Linked DNA regions of Notamacropus eugenii. The protein of the gene in region 1 purifies or fractionates together with the protein of each later gene. This does not show direct contact. Links are inferred from orthologs where the notes say so. Each region holds a gene or a part of one and is shown in the gene's direction. Other genes may lie near its edges.

Region 1 (7,485 bases):
TGACATTTCATCTTCCACCCCCATGTGTTTGTACACACATTCCTTTTTGCCTGGAATGTTCCCTCTTTCTCATTTTTGCATCTCCAAATCCTTACCTTCCTTCAAGGCCTCAATAGAGGTCACCTGGATTTTCTTATTTACTACTGCCTTCTCTCCTCTCCTCAAACTAACTTGTAAAAAAAAAAATAACTTTACTTGTGTCTATATTGTATCCTCTTAGGATAGTATAAATTCCTTGCAGGCAAAGGCAGTCAGTTATTCAAAAAGTCAACCAGCAAACATTTATTGAGCATCTATGATAGTCATTGGAAAACAGACCAAATTGAGAGTGCTTGCTCTTGATAAATAAATACAAAGTAATTGGGAGAGACACAAACAACTGGGAAAATGAGGAAAGGCCATGTAAAGGATGTGGCACTGAGATTAACTGCCATCTCTATGCAAATGACTCACAGGCTCTCCCTTGAGCTTGTAGTCCCATATCACTAATCCCCCACAGGAAATTTCAAACTGAATGTCCTGCAGATATCTTCAACTCAACATGTCCAAACTAGAACTCGTTATTCCCCTCCACCATCCCCAGGAAAAAAATCAACCAAAAAACCCAACTCCTCCCCTCTCTCAAACTTCCTTATTTCAGTGGAAATTGCATGCACCAACCTCCCAGTCTCCTCAACTCCTTATTGTCCTTAGGGCCAAGGATCTGATGAGGTTTGAGGAGTGCTGGGGACCCTGAAATACCGACACGCCAGGTCCTGCTCAAATGAATTCGACTCAAGACTTCTTTAAATCAAAGAAAACCAAAGTTTATTAAAGATTCACCACCTTAGGTTGACTCTTTAGGAGCCTAAGATTTATAATACTTGTATTCACAAGCAGTCGAGATAGAATCTCAGCTAGGCAGAGTCTGAGCTGGACTGAATCTGAATGCCTTCATGGAGGCGAGATGGAACTTAAATACAGAAAAAGACTGAGGGAAGAATCCAGGTGTCACCAGGTAATCTCAGGTCCCAGGGGTGGTCTAGATAGATTAAACCCAGAGAGGAGTGTCTGGTAATACGATCAAAGGGAGGCATATCAAAAATGCTAAATAGAAGATAGGGAGTATGTGGCCTGGGAGAAATGGAAGGGGAATCCAAGGAGCCATCCCCCAAAAGCCAGACTTCCCAGCAACTCTTCCGATCCAAGGGAAAAAGGTCTTGGGTTGGGCTTGTACCCCATCAGATCCAATCAGTTAACAAATCTTCATAGTTCTGTTTTCACAATAACTCTCACATTGCCACCCCTTCTCTTGACTCACCCAGCCATCACCCTAATTCAGACTCCCTATTTCTCTTTTGAATATGACCAATTCAGAGACACAAAGGAACACTTGTATGAACTGATGTCTACAGTGAAATAAGCAAAAACAAGAAAATGATATATGTGATGACTACAGTCATGTAAACAAAAATGACACTAAAAATTAGTCAAAATCTGATAAACTGTATCACCAATTTTGGTCTGAGGTTCAGGGACTACTAGAATGGAATGTTTCATGATTGGTTGTTGTGCCAATTTGTTTCGCTGAGTTGTTTTTTTTTTTCTTTGGTGACAAAAGAAGTCAACGGTGGTGGGGAAGTGAACTGAGAAATAATGGTGGTGTAGAACAAAAGGAATCAAAAACTGAAAAAAGAGAGGCCAAGTGTTGCTACATGAGCAAGACAGAACAAAAACTGTGGCATGATATTGAATTTTGTAGTCCAGTTTGGCTGAAGTATATGAACAAATGGCCCCAGATGGCTTAGTGGATAGAATTCGAGGCCTGGAGTCAGGAAGACTTCTTGAGTTCAAATTCTGCCTCAAATACTATGTGACCCAAGCAAGTCAATTAACCCTGCTTTTACCTCAGTTTCCTTATCTGTAAAATGAACTAGAAAAGGAAACCACTCCAGTATCTTTGCCAAGAAAACCCGAAATGGGGTCACAAAAAGTCAGATAGGACTGAAATGACTGAACAAAAAGCCTTCTGCGGTCCCTTCCAGCTATAAAGTTCTATGAATTATTTCTTCACTATGCTGACCAAATACATTATCTGAATCGCCCTCTTGTGGTGACTTGTCTGATGGACATATATAGTTTTATCGTCTTCCTCTGTGAAAAGCTACTTCTGCGGGAAAGCAAAAATGATACAGTATTGGAAATCATTAGGATCCTTATTCGGGGGGTCTGTGAACTTGTCTTTTTTTTTTAAATTTTGATTACTGTATTTTAATATAATTGCTTTTCTTTATATGGCTGTTTTATTGTTTTAATTTAAAATTTAAAAAATTAATTTTTAAATTCTAAACTTAATTTTAAATATTTTTTTATTTTTAACTTAAAATTACAAAATTAGAAAAGAAAAAAACTATTGCCATGTACATAGCTGAGCATAAGAGAGGATTCAATATAAGACAAATTTCCATATAAAATACATATATATGTAAGACCATACTATGCTTATTTTCTTCCATCATCTGTTTTTCTGAAGGTGTATAGCATCTTCCTTCCTAAGTCTAAGTCTCTATGTTTTTCTAAATCAATCAGCTCATCATTTCCTACATCACAGCAATATTCCAACCTGTTTACATCCTATCCGAGGGATTGTCTATGAAAGTTTTTTCCTGATTTTCTGCATTCTTGGCTACATAGGTTTTATTTATAGAAGAAAATTTCAACTTAAAATAATTGAAATTATCTTTTTGACACTTCAACAATGCTCTCACCTTACACTTTAAGGTTTGATACTACCAAATCTACTTCCTTTACATCTTTTTCCCCCAGGTTTCCTTAAAGTTTCTGACCTTTTGTTCTTCCAAATGAACTTTGTTATATTTTTTTAACTCAATAATTTTTTTTTAGTAATTTAGTTGGGATGGCACTGAATACGGAGATTAGTTAGGTAAAACTGTCATTCTAAAAATTATATTGGCTTTACTTACCCATGAACAATAAATATTACTTCAATTATTTAGATCTGCATTTATTTCTATAAAAAGCATTTTATATTTATGTTCATATAGTTGTGGTGTCTATTTTGGCAGGAATACACTCAGGTATTTTATATAATCTAGGTATTTTAAATGGTCACTCTAAAACTATTGAATAATATTGCTGACACAGAGTATTTTTCACTTTTGATTAAATCTATTTTAACTTTAACTTTGAGATGATTACTATTCCTGCTTTTTTTACACATTAAATTCTACTCTTGCCTTTTATTTTATCTTTGTGTCTATCTCTCACTTTTATAAAGTTTCCTGAAAGCAACTTATTGCTGAATTCAGATTTTTAATTGTTGTCCTTTCAGTTTTATGGGTAAATTAGTCCCCTTCACATTCTGAGTTACAATTACTTGTTATGCAGCCATGGTTTTAAAGGACAGTGAGCAAAGTGTTCTCTTTGAGTGTAATTTATGGGCTTTATAAAGCCAGGGAATCTGGCTTTATCTGTTTGTATTTGAGAAGAAAGAAAAAGGCAGCATAGCAGATCACAGAGTCCAGGACCAGAAGTCAGGACATTCGTGACCAATCACAATTTGGCTGCTCAGTTGCTTTGTGACCTTAGATAAATCACTTTCCCTTTCTGATCCTCCTGGTAAAGGAGAATTTTGGGAAGTGTCTTTGAAAGTGTCAGGGAAGTGCCAAGACTCCCAGCTGGGGAAAGTGAAATGTGAGTTTTCGTTTTGGGGGGAATGTATCTGTGAATACATTAGTGCTCCCTCCTGTTAGCACAGATTGCCACTAAAGTCAGACATGAAAGAGTGTTGCAAAATAGGTAAAATTACGCCACTCTTCAATCTTTTTTGAAAAGTTATTTTTCATAAAAATGTTTATGTTACTTCGAATGTTTACTGTTGTTTTAATTGAATTAATAAAGATTTTAAGTTTGTTAGTTTTAATTTCAAACGTAAAAAATCTATATTAAATATGCAAACATACAAAAATTAAATACGTAGCGAAGGCTGTGTCCCACTAAAAGAAATCCTTTGGGGTCCTCAACAGTTTTGAAGCTGGTAAAGACCAAAAAGTTTGAAAGCTGCGGCACCCATCAGGAGGCCTACTTCTCTAGTTATCATTATAACGAATATTATTACTCGTACGTTTAAACGATGTAGCTTATACACATTTGCCGCATATTTTCAGCATCTTTTTAATGGCATAGAATCTTTATAGCTTCCCTACATAGCAGGGCCACTTCTCGACTTCATTTCCCAGCCTTTACCGCGCGACCGGAAACGGAACTTTCGTAAGCGCCAATTGGCTCCCAGCACTACCACTTCCTCCGAACGACTGGAAGGTACCCGCGGACAAAGGAGCGCAGGGAAGGAGGCGGGGCTCAGCGGCTACGCACCCGTGGAAGCAACGGAGTCTGCGCGTGTCCTCCTCTGCGCATGAGCTTCCTGATCTGCACTCTGATTGGCTGAAAGAGCTCGACCGTTCCTATTTGAATCTCGGCGGCTCGGGGGAGGAGCTGTCTAAGCATAGTCGCCGCCGTTGCTTGGGGCTCTCAGACTTGCTGCTTCTCTGCGCCCCGGCGCTTCTCCGTCCCTCTCTCGGGAGCCCTTCTCCTTCCTCGTCCGCGCTCGCGACCTGCGGGCCATAGCCTGGCAGGTAGGAACGTCGTGCCTCCCTGGCCCTGCCCTTCTCCGTGCGAGTGGAAGGCTGTCTGAGGCGGCGAGGCCTCTCTGGAGGGCGGGCGAGTCCGGGTCTCTGCGAGCTGCGGGGAGCGGTGGGGGTGGGGAGAGGAGGAAAGGCCCCAGGATCCATCCGGGCCAACCCTGGTGTCGGCGAGACCCGAGTTCAAGTCCTGTTTCTAGCACTAAGGAGCTGGGAGCCCCGGGCACGTGTCTTAACCTCTCGGAGCCGAGGTTTCCCTGTTTTGAGGCTGAATGCACCGGGTCTCAGACACTTACTGGCGGGGTGACCTTGGGCAAGTCACTCCCCCTCCGCTCGCCCTGGTTGTCTTATGTATAAAATAGGAAGGACCACAAATGGCAATTGTAAAGCGCTTGTCTCTGTGCCTGGAACCCAGTAGGTGCTTAGTAAACCCTGATTCCCCGCACCCCCTACCCCCAGTCCATAAAAGGGATAGTAATTGTACCTACTTCTCCCTAGGTTTTTGTGAGGCTCAGTAAAGGACTCGGCAATTCTTAGAGCTCTATATAAACGCCAGTTATTAGTTATTGTTCTTATTCTAGAAAAAATATTGTAGAAAAGATATTCTAAAAAAAATTCTAGAAAAAAATTCTGCGGAGTTAAAATATGAACAGGCCAGGGCTTTTTTTGTTTGTTTGTTTTTCTGGCTCTCCTTCTCTTACTGTTCTAATGCCCTCTGAACTGTTCACAGGTGGATACAATTACTGCCTTTTGTATTTGAATAAAAGTGTTAGGTTGTCAAGTTATTTTGTGTGAACTCCAGGAGAAAGACTTCAGCACAACAGGATGATGGGAATTTCATCCTATTTTCACCTGATTTTGATCTCCTTTACTAGGACTGTTTTGGAAGGCTCTTTTCTGGGAGTGATTAGGGAAGGAGAGTGGGAATACACTCATTTGGAGAGTGATTCCTGATGTTTGTTTCCTTTTCTGTCAACTGACATTTATTAACCACCAGTTTACTATGTGCCAGACACTGGGCTAAGCTCTGGGGATGCTTAGAAAAATAAACAAACAAAAAAACTGTCCTGTGTTCTCCAGGAACTCACAGTATAATGGAAAGAAGTCATACAAACACGATGTAATCAGGATAAGTTGGGAGCAGTCTCAGAGGAAAGACACGAGAATTAAGAAGTGTTGGGAAAGTCTTCTTGCAGAAGGTGGGTGGGTCCTTAACCAAGGTTTAAAGGGAAGCTAGGGAGGGCAGGAGGGTGAAGATGCAGAGAAAGAGCATTCTAGGCATGGGGGCCGTACTGGAAATGCTGGGGAAATGCAGTACTCTGTGCCAGAAGTAGCAGGAAAAAAAATTTTTTTTTTCTTCAGTCAGAACCAGCTTTTACTGGTTCTGTGCTCTATTTTGCCTAGATTTCTGTTAACCTGGTAATAACAATATCTATATCCAAGATGACTTTAGGAACCCAAGCTTCACACTGAGTTGGGGGGCTCAGGATATTTGGGTGTACACTTAACAGAAGATTTGCTTTCATGAGCATGAACTCACATCTTTGAGGGCATAGTGCTGGTTGCCCCAGGGGCGATCTTCCTCACAGGCATGATGTATGTTAAGGTGCTTTGGGAATTAGAAATATTTGGTTTCAGATCCATCCTCTGATACTTCCTAGCTTGTGTGACTGTGGGCAAATCATTTACCTTTTTTCCCGCCTCAGTTTCTCATCTGTAAAATGGGAATAATAGTAGCATCCACATCCAGGGTGTGGGGATCCAATAAGATATTTGTAGAGAGCTTAGCACAGTGCTTGGCATATAGTAGATGCTGTGTAAATGTTACTATTATTATACATGGTTAGTTATTGTTACCTTCTCCTAGGTGGAAGATCGATAGGCACCTGAGATGAGTAAAGATAAGGTAATTTGTGAAGCCAAAGAGCCACTAGCACCTTGGGCTAGCAGGGAAGGCTTCCCAGAGCAGGTAGCACTTGAGCTGATTATTGAAGGAAGGTCAAAATTCTGAGAGGCAGAGTTGAAGGGAGTGCATTCTAGGCATGGGCAATTGGTTTGTTGAGTTTTGTGGATAGTTACTGGTTCAATTTGGTTGGAAATTCAAAAGGGAAATAACATGGGGAAAAAAAGACTGGAAAGTTAAGTTGGAGTCAGATTATAGGGGGCTTTAAATGAAGTAGCATGTGTTTCATACTAGAGGCAGTAGGAAGTCATTAGAAATTTTGAGCAGGAAAGGGACATGATTAGATCTGTCTTAGTAAGATGATTTTTGCATCTGCATAGAGCATGAATTGGAGAGAGAAGAACCTGGAAGCAGGAAGACCAATTAGGAGGTTGGTCCAGGTGAGTGTAATAAAAGCTTCAACTAGAGAGAAAGATTGATGCAAAAGATGTTTTAAAGGTCGAATCAGTAAGTTTTGGATAAAATGATTGATTTTTAAAAATTCAAATAATTCACATCCTGGCTCTGCCACTTAATTTGTGTGACCATGAACAAATTGCTTCCTTTCTTTATAATCTCCAGTGCTTTAAAGTTTGCAGGATATTTTTCTCACAACAATCTTGTTAGCTAAGTAGGGCAAGGATATTATCCTCATTTTACAGAGGAGGAAACTGAGGCTTTGAGAGGTTGTGTTTGTCTGTAAGTATTGATAATATTTAATATCATTTTTGGACTTTAATAAGGGCCAGAGCTTGAAGAAGAGCCTGGACCTAACAGTCTCTTTGTTCTCTGAAGTAAACGCAGAGAATACCTCTTCCTATGTCAACAAGGGCAGATGGGGCTGACTTAGCATACTTTGAGACCCTGAACCTGAGATACTATCTTGAATAGTGGGACTTTTTT
Region 2 (7,227 bases), about 53 Mb from region 1:
TTCACAACAGGTATTGTTCTTTGTTTAAGGTCAGCATGTTTCTCACTGTTGGGGGCTTGTTAGATGGGCTCACTTCTATACCTAGTGTCTGCCAAACTGCTTTCCAATTTTCCCAGCAATTTTTGTCACAAAAGCTTGGATTTGGGGCATTTATCAAACACTAGATTACAATGGTCATTTACTACTGTGTATTGTATACCTGATCTATTCCACTGATCCACCCTTCTATTTCTTTTTTTTTTCCTGTGATGAAACAGCTTTATTTTAAAAATACATAGAAAGATTCTTTCTTTAATATTGATTAAAATGCTTTTGAATTTCAAATCCCCTTATGAAATGTTAGCAGCAGTTGTCAAGGAAAGGATGGATGTGTACTTTTTTAGTGATGGCATAGAAGTAATTCCTATTCAAGTGTAAGTTGGATTTCATGGCCCCTGATAGTCATTCAAACTCTTAAAATCTGTATAAATTGAGTATCTTTGTGTCTTAAAATAATTGCAAAACTGCTGGTTGCCAAGGGGACAAGTGTATTCAAATTTCCATTGACAGGGGAACCAGATAAGGAAACTAGGGAGAAATGGAGATAAAGAGAAAGGAGAATTCTCATTCTCTTTTCAGAAAAGGATATTTCTTCTCTCCCCCCACCCCACTTAATAATATTTTATTTTTTTCCAATTACATGTAAAGAGTGTTTTCAACATTCAATTTTGTAAGATTTTGAGCTCCAAATTTTTTCTCCCTCCATTCCCACCCCTCTCCCCAAGACATCAAAAAATCTGATCTTCACTCTTTATGTCTAAATCCTGTTCTCATTTTGACCTTATCTTAGTATGCAGTGTAAGTTGTTGGTCTATGCATAGTTTCTGCCATATTATTTTCCAGTTTTCCCAGTGGTTTTTGTCAAATAGTGAGTTCTTATCCCAGAAACTGGGTTTAACAAACAGTAGATTACCATAGTCATTGACTGTTATGTCTTATATACCTAACCTATTCCACTCATCTACCCCTCTGTTTCTTAGCTAGTACCAGACTGTTTTGATAATTACTGCTTTGTAATACAGCTTGAGATCTGGTACTGCTAGGTACTTCCTTCACATTTTTATTCATTGATTCTCTTGATATTCTTGACCTTGTTTTTCCAGATGAATTTTGTTATTATTTTGTGTATCTCTATAAAATGCTTTTTGGTAGTTTGGTATGGCACTGAATAAATAAATTCATCAATTAACTTTTACAAAAGGGAATTTATTAAGAAAGGATAGTAGAACACAAGTTATAAAATATCCCCTTTAAACAGGAGACAAACTCTCTCCCCTCTGCACATACTGGTTCCTGGGGAGAGTGGGCTCAAACTTTAAATAATTATGTTAGTGCGGCATGTTAGCAAATCTCAGTAGAGAATAAACCCCAAAACCTGAAATAGGTTTTGGATTTTATTAGGTCATTTAGAAAAGGAGAGGGCTGGGAAAAGGTGTGGCTCCTTCCTCATTTCTTTGCGACTTTACTGAGAGTTCAGACTAGACTGACTGGCCACACTAGATAATGCAATTGTCAGAACTAAGTAGCTTGAGATATATATATCAGCAGGTAAGTATAAACATTCAAATCTGGAAAATTCAAAACAAGTTTAGTGGACCCAAACAAGACTTGGGTGGGATCTAAGCATTCCCTTCAGCCATCCATCTTCCTTGGAGGGGCTCTGACCTCTACAGTAATTTTGGATTACACAATTTTCTAGCCACATAAAGCTAGGTTCAAACAAAATTAATAAATAATAATCTATATTTTCCTCACAGACACGTGTAAAGAACATGTAGGATCAAGAAGCATCTCAAGACTTCTAGCCCTGGGAGTCCTTTTCTCTCTATAAGGAGTCCCCACCAAATCTGCTTGGGATGGGGCAGCAGCTGTACTTACCCTTGGTGCTGAGATTGGCTGCTTCCCTGGGCTCAGCTGCTGTGACTAGCCTCAGGGGTTTTTTTTGCTATCTATTCTGGCTGCTGAGGGTGATCTGGGATAGTCCTTCCAACCTTTCAAAGCTCACAAGGGTGTCATCTATTCAATTCTGTTTATCTTTCATTTCCCTAAGATTAGGAAAGGAGAAACAGAAGGTCCATGTCAAGAATTCAGGGATAGATTAGGAGGGAGGGCATGCTACTTCTCCTTGATCTTGGAAGTCCTCCACATTCAAAGATGCCAGGGAAGAGAGGTACAGGTCATCAGCTCAAACTTTTTTTTTTTTTTTGCACATTCAGTTCTGGTTCAGGAATCAATTAAAAGATTTTTCATCATTGTGATGCTGGGATGGGAAAGAGGGTGAAGGTTCTTTTTTTCCCATTAGGTATGTTTCCTTGTGTTGGAATGGAAATCAGGAAGTTCATTGTGCATGAACTAAGGAGGTGACACACTCATTACTACCTACCTTTGCCTTAAGATATTTCTCCACAGTCAGCATGAGGTCAGGGGCAGAGATCTCGGACAAATCCTGATCTATGTCCTTTGTGAGAAGGGGCCTTGTGGGCTGCAGAGTATACTAGAATAAGTAAAGGCACTAGAGGTTAGTGGAGTTATTTCAGCAGAGTTTCAAATGGAAAAGTTAAGGACACAGAGGAATTAACATGCAAAGGCTTCGCTGCAGAAAAAAAGTATATTTACCTGCCTGGAAAATCCAAACCCATTTGAAATAGGATTTGATCATAGTTTGTTAAGTGGGTGAGGATAGTGGAGTAGCTGATTCAATTGCCAGGAAACACCCACTGTTAGGCAGCTTAGATTTCATCTCCAATTGGAATGACAGAATCAAAACACTAAAAAAGTTTAAGAAAATCCCAGCTGTCTCTAATACAAGTCTAGGCTAGTAACAAATTTGCATAGTGGATAAATAACAAAGTATCCTTAACTACAGTGCAGTTTAGAAATGAGACTCTTAACTTCCAAAATACTTTTCATCAGTTTAGTAACAACTTGTGTATCATATTGACGTTTAATTTTCATAAAGATATATATATATATTTTATATGTAAGTGCAGCCTAAGCAATGGTACAAACAACAGGGACTTCTATGTTAGAGAAAGGGAAAGTGAACATGACCCGCAATATAATAAGTAGGGCAAACGTGGGTCGGGTGGTGCCAGGCATTGAAGCAACAAAGCTGAGGGTGGGGACGTTATTGCAACGGGAGAGTTTGTCCACTGGGTACAGTGTTTGGGCGTGGAATCCAGCCTATAAGAATAGGTTCTTTCAAAAAGGACCTTATTTCAACAAATAGCTAGAAAAAATAAAAGAGGGTTTGAAGGGGATTTTCTTTGATCATTTCCTCATTTCCTAAGCTCGAGACTTTCCAGGGATCACATTAGATAAGAATTTTGGGAATGGATGGGCCAATGATTCTACATGATCGTTTTTAAAACTTGTAAATGTTTTTTTGAATTAAAAATTCTTTTTTCTCACTTAGAAATCTATTTTTTTCTCCCCTGAGTTAAGGAAAAAAAAACCCGTATCACAAATGTGCATAGGCAAGCAAAACAAATTCCAATACAAGTCCAGTATAAAGTGTGCGCTTTTCTGCACCCCGAGTCCGACACGTCCCTATCAGGAGGTGGGGAGCATGCTCCCCTATCACCGCTTTGGAATCTTGGTTGGTCATTGCCCCGATCAGTGTCTAAGTCTTTCAAAGTTGTTTGTCTTTATAACGTGGTTGTTGCACGATCGTTCTGGTTCTACATACAGATGTTTCAAGGCTTCCTTCAATCACATCCCGCTCTTTTTCATAGAAGGGAAACTGAGGTCACCCTTTGGAGTCGGGGGTCTTGGCAGGCCACCACGCCAGCTCAGTCACAATGGGAGGTGCCCTCTTGCCTCGGCTCCGCCCCCAGAGGTCTGGCAGATCGAGTTGAGGCGGTTCTTCCAGCGATTTCGCACCTGGTGGGGCGCATCTGCCAGGTGACTCCACGCAGCGCGGCGCCGGCCAGATCCACCTACACTGGATTGGCCAGGACCCCACCCCCAGCCCCTGCAGCGTGGCCCCGCCTCCCTTCGGGTCCAGGCCCCGCCCCCCGCCCCTGTCGGCCCCTCCCCCCAGCTGGGCGGGTGAGAGAGAACTCGGTGCGTGCGTGCGCGTCGCCCCATCCGGGTCGACGGGCCTGGCAGCCCCGCCCTCAGCCCTGGCTGAGCTGCATTTGGGCAACTGCTGAGGGCGGCCGGCGGCCACGTCCGAGAGCGTGCTGAAGTCACCGACGGGGCCGAGGGGGCGGAGGAACGGATGGAAGATGGCTGCGGGGGCCGGATGTTGGCGCCGCCTCCCCCAAGTCCTGAGCCGGCGCAGATGAGGCGGCTCGGTCGGGGCCAGCGGCGCTTCGGAACCCGAGCTGGGGCGACCCTGGCGGCGGTGCCCGCCCCTGCTATGTGCCGGCGCCTCGGGTAGAGCGCGGAAGAGCGGCGGCGGGGCCGGGGCCGGGACGGCGACGCGGCAGGCCTCCTGCTCCTTCCTCCCGTCGGCGGCTGGTGTCTGAGGAGGGCGGCGGCGGCGGGGGCCGCGGGGCCGGCATGGAGGACGTTAACTCCAACGTGAACGCGGACCAGGAGGTGCGGAAGCTGCAGGAGCTGGTGAAGAAGCTGGAGAAGCAGAACGAGCAGCTGAGGAGCCGCTCGGGGGCCGCGCAGGCAGCCGCCCCCGCCGCGCAGGGCAGCCCCGGCCGCGGCTCCGCCGCCGCCTCCGGGACCGCGTCTCCCCGAGGCTTCCCGCTGGGCCTGAGCTCCAAGGCGGCGGCGGCGGCGACCGGGGCCGGGCCGGGCCTGAGGCGGACGAGCAGCGAGGAGCTGCGGGACGGGAGCGCGTCCCTGCTGGCGGCCGGCGAGGGCAGCGTGCTGGACGAGGTGGAGCCGCTGCGGCCTGACGAGCTGGAGCGCCTCTTGGGCTGGGAGGAGGAGGAGAGCTGGTGAGCCGGGGCGCTCGTGGGGCGGGGCGGGGGCTGTGCAACCGACTGCCCCCGGGCCCAGGCCGGGCTTTGTCTCGGGAGACCTCCCTCGCTTTTCTTTTCTGGAGACTGGCCTGGGGGCAAGGGTCGCCTGAGCCAAAAGATGAGAAGAAAAGCACACGTCTGCTGGGAGGGGCGCGGGTGGAGACCTGGACTGAGTTGTTGGCACTAGCACTGGCGGTGCTGCAACGGGGGCAGAGTAGGCAGGGTCCCCGCTTTGTGTGGCTCGAGGAGGGCGGCCTGGGAATTAGGGTGTCGGCGAAGGAACTTGGGGAGGGGCGTGCTCGATGAGAAGTCACTGAACTTGGCTCTTGGGGACAAGCTGGACCCTCTCTCCTTTTGGTGCGAAAGGGTCCGAGTCCGCGTGGAAAGCGTGAGACTTTGGCATGACTGGTGTGGGTGGCCAGAAAGGGAGGAAGATGGTGTGAAACTGGACCCCCCTTTGGGGACCCCGAGCTTCGCTTCGCTTTATGTGATGGGGGCAGAGGACGGGGCTGCTTTGTGCAGAGAACCAAAGACGGGCCTCCCTCGTATCTTTTGGCTACTCATTTGTTTGCTCCTTCCGTGTTTATTCAAGAATTGGGGTAGTTCTCAAGGTTGTGAAGAGTTACCACCTTTACTCGTCACTTTCATATTATTCTAGGGCAGGTAAGAGAGGCTTGTTGAAGCTTCCTGTCCCTCGAGGAAAGCAATGACCCACACCTTAAAAATCACTTCCATCCCTCGTAAACGCTTGAAAGAATCTCTTCTGGGCGTTAGGGGAACTTTTATTCATGAATTCATCATTTCAGGACTTACTCTTTTTAACATTGAAATGTTTTCTCCTTTTTGGTTAAAATAGAGGTTTCAGAATTAGTGCAATCTTTGACAGAATTAGGCAGCGTCTGTTGGCAGATTTCGGTATTGAGCATCTATTTACTGAGCTAGGTCATAGATTTAGAGCTGGAAGGAACCTTGGAATCCAGCGCCTTTTTTTTACCGATGAGCAAACTGAAGAGGACAGAAGTAAAATGACTTCTGCAGTTATACAGCGAAGTAAGGGTCTAAGGCAAAATTGAGCCTAAGTCTACCTGACTTCCAAATCTGTTCCCTGTCCTCCACAGCATGCTACCTTCTCCTGTGTGGGGTAAAAGAGAAGCGTTAGACATCGCCCCAACTTTTATTCCTGTTGAGTAAAAGAAACAAGCCCCGTAAAATAATACTGAAAAGTCTCAATAGCTTAAATGATAAGAGTTCCTTAAGATTTAGGATTAAAGGAGTTAAAGTTGGAAGGAATATTAGAGGTCACTTAGCCCAACACCCCCATCCTCTTTTTCATGTTAGGAAACTTGCCCCAGAGAGGTATGGTGTCTTGCTCCAAGTTTATTGTACAGTTAGTAAGTGGTGAAGAACAATTTGTCCACAATAAAATAATTCTGTGAGGTAGGTAGTACAAGTACTACTGCTATCTTTATTTTACAGATAAGGAACACTCAGGTGAAGAAGGGAAGGACTTGCCCAAAATCTTATGTGTAGTAACTCTAGCTTTCTTTCTGCTGAATACAGCACACTAACACACTTCCTCAAATAGATTTTTAAGGGCCTTAAAAACAGGACACCCACCCCTCTCTTTTTGTATTTGTATCCTTTATCTTTCCCAGTGCCCATGCACACAAGTTAGGAATTAGACTGCAGTCCAGCACCTACTATGCAACTTAATGGTCCTAGAGAGCTCTTTAAAATTCTGAGAGGCTAAGTGACATGTTCAGACTCTTACAGCTGGACACAAGGATAGAGGCAGAACTTGAACCCAAGTCTTTCTGGTTTTGAGGCCAGCACTGTTCATCATGCCATGCTGAATATAAATGTTGAACTGAATTGAAAAAACAATGCATAGCACATATAATAAACACTACAGGTAGGAGCTCCAGGATTCACAAACCCCAAGGCACATGGGTAAATTTCAGGGAGTTCTCTGAACTTAGATGGGGAAGAAATTACATATTTGTTTTCATAAACTTTTGGTCTCCTAGCTGGAAAGCAGTTAACTGACAGAGTGTAGAGTGCCAGGCCTGGAAGACTTGAGAGCAGATCCAGCCTTGGACACTAGCCCTGTGATGTTGGGCAAGTCACTTAATCTCTGTTTGCCTCAGTTCCTTCAATTTTAAATGGGTAATACTGGTACCTACTTCCCAAGGTTATTGTGAAGATTAAATAAAATAATAATTTGTAAAGTGCTTAGCACATGATAGATGCTATATAAATGCTAGCT

Evidence for each region. The genes of interacting proteins can lie anywhere in the genome.
Region 2: the proteins of TACC3 (region 1) and SLAIN2 purify together in Homo sapiens (co-immunoprecipitation; 3 studies listed by BioGRID and IntAct, counting the BioPlex papers as one, with this or other methods). This does not show direct contact. The link is inferred for Notamacropus eugenii from reciprocal best matches to the Homo sapiens genes TACC3 and SLAIN2.

The regions. Positions count from the first base shown.
Region 1 is NC_092877.1:50,059,049-50,066,533, forward strand, and holds the start of TACC3 (transforming acidic coiled-coil-containing protein 3), read left to right. Parts: upstream 1-4,387; 5' UTR 4,388-4,634; intron 4,635-6,923; exon of another isoform or gene 6,924-6,983; intron 6,984-7,485. UniProt on the Homo sapiens protein: Plays a role in the microtubule-dependent coupling of the nucleus and the centrosome. Involved in the processes that regulate centrosome-mediated interkinetic nuclear migration (INM) of neural progenitors.
Region 2 is NC_092877.1:102,737,818-102,745,044, forward strand, and holds the start of SLAIN2 (SLAIN motif-containing protein 2), read left to right. Parts: upstream 1-4,157; 5' UTR 4,158-4,545; coding exon 4,546-4,937; intron 4,938-7,227.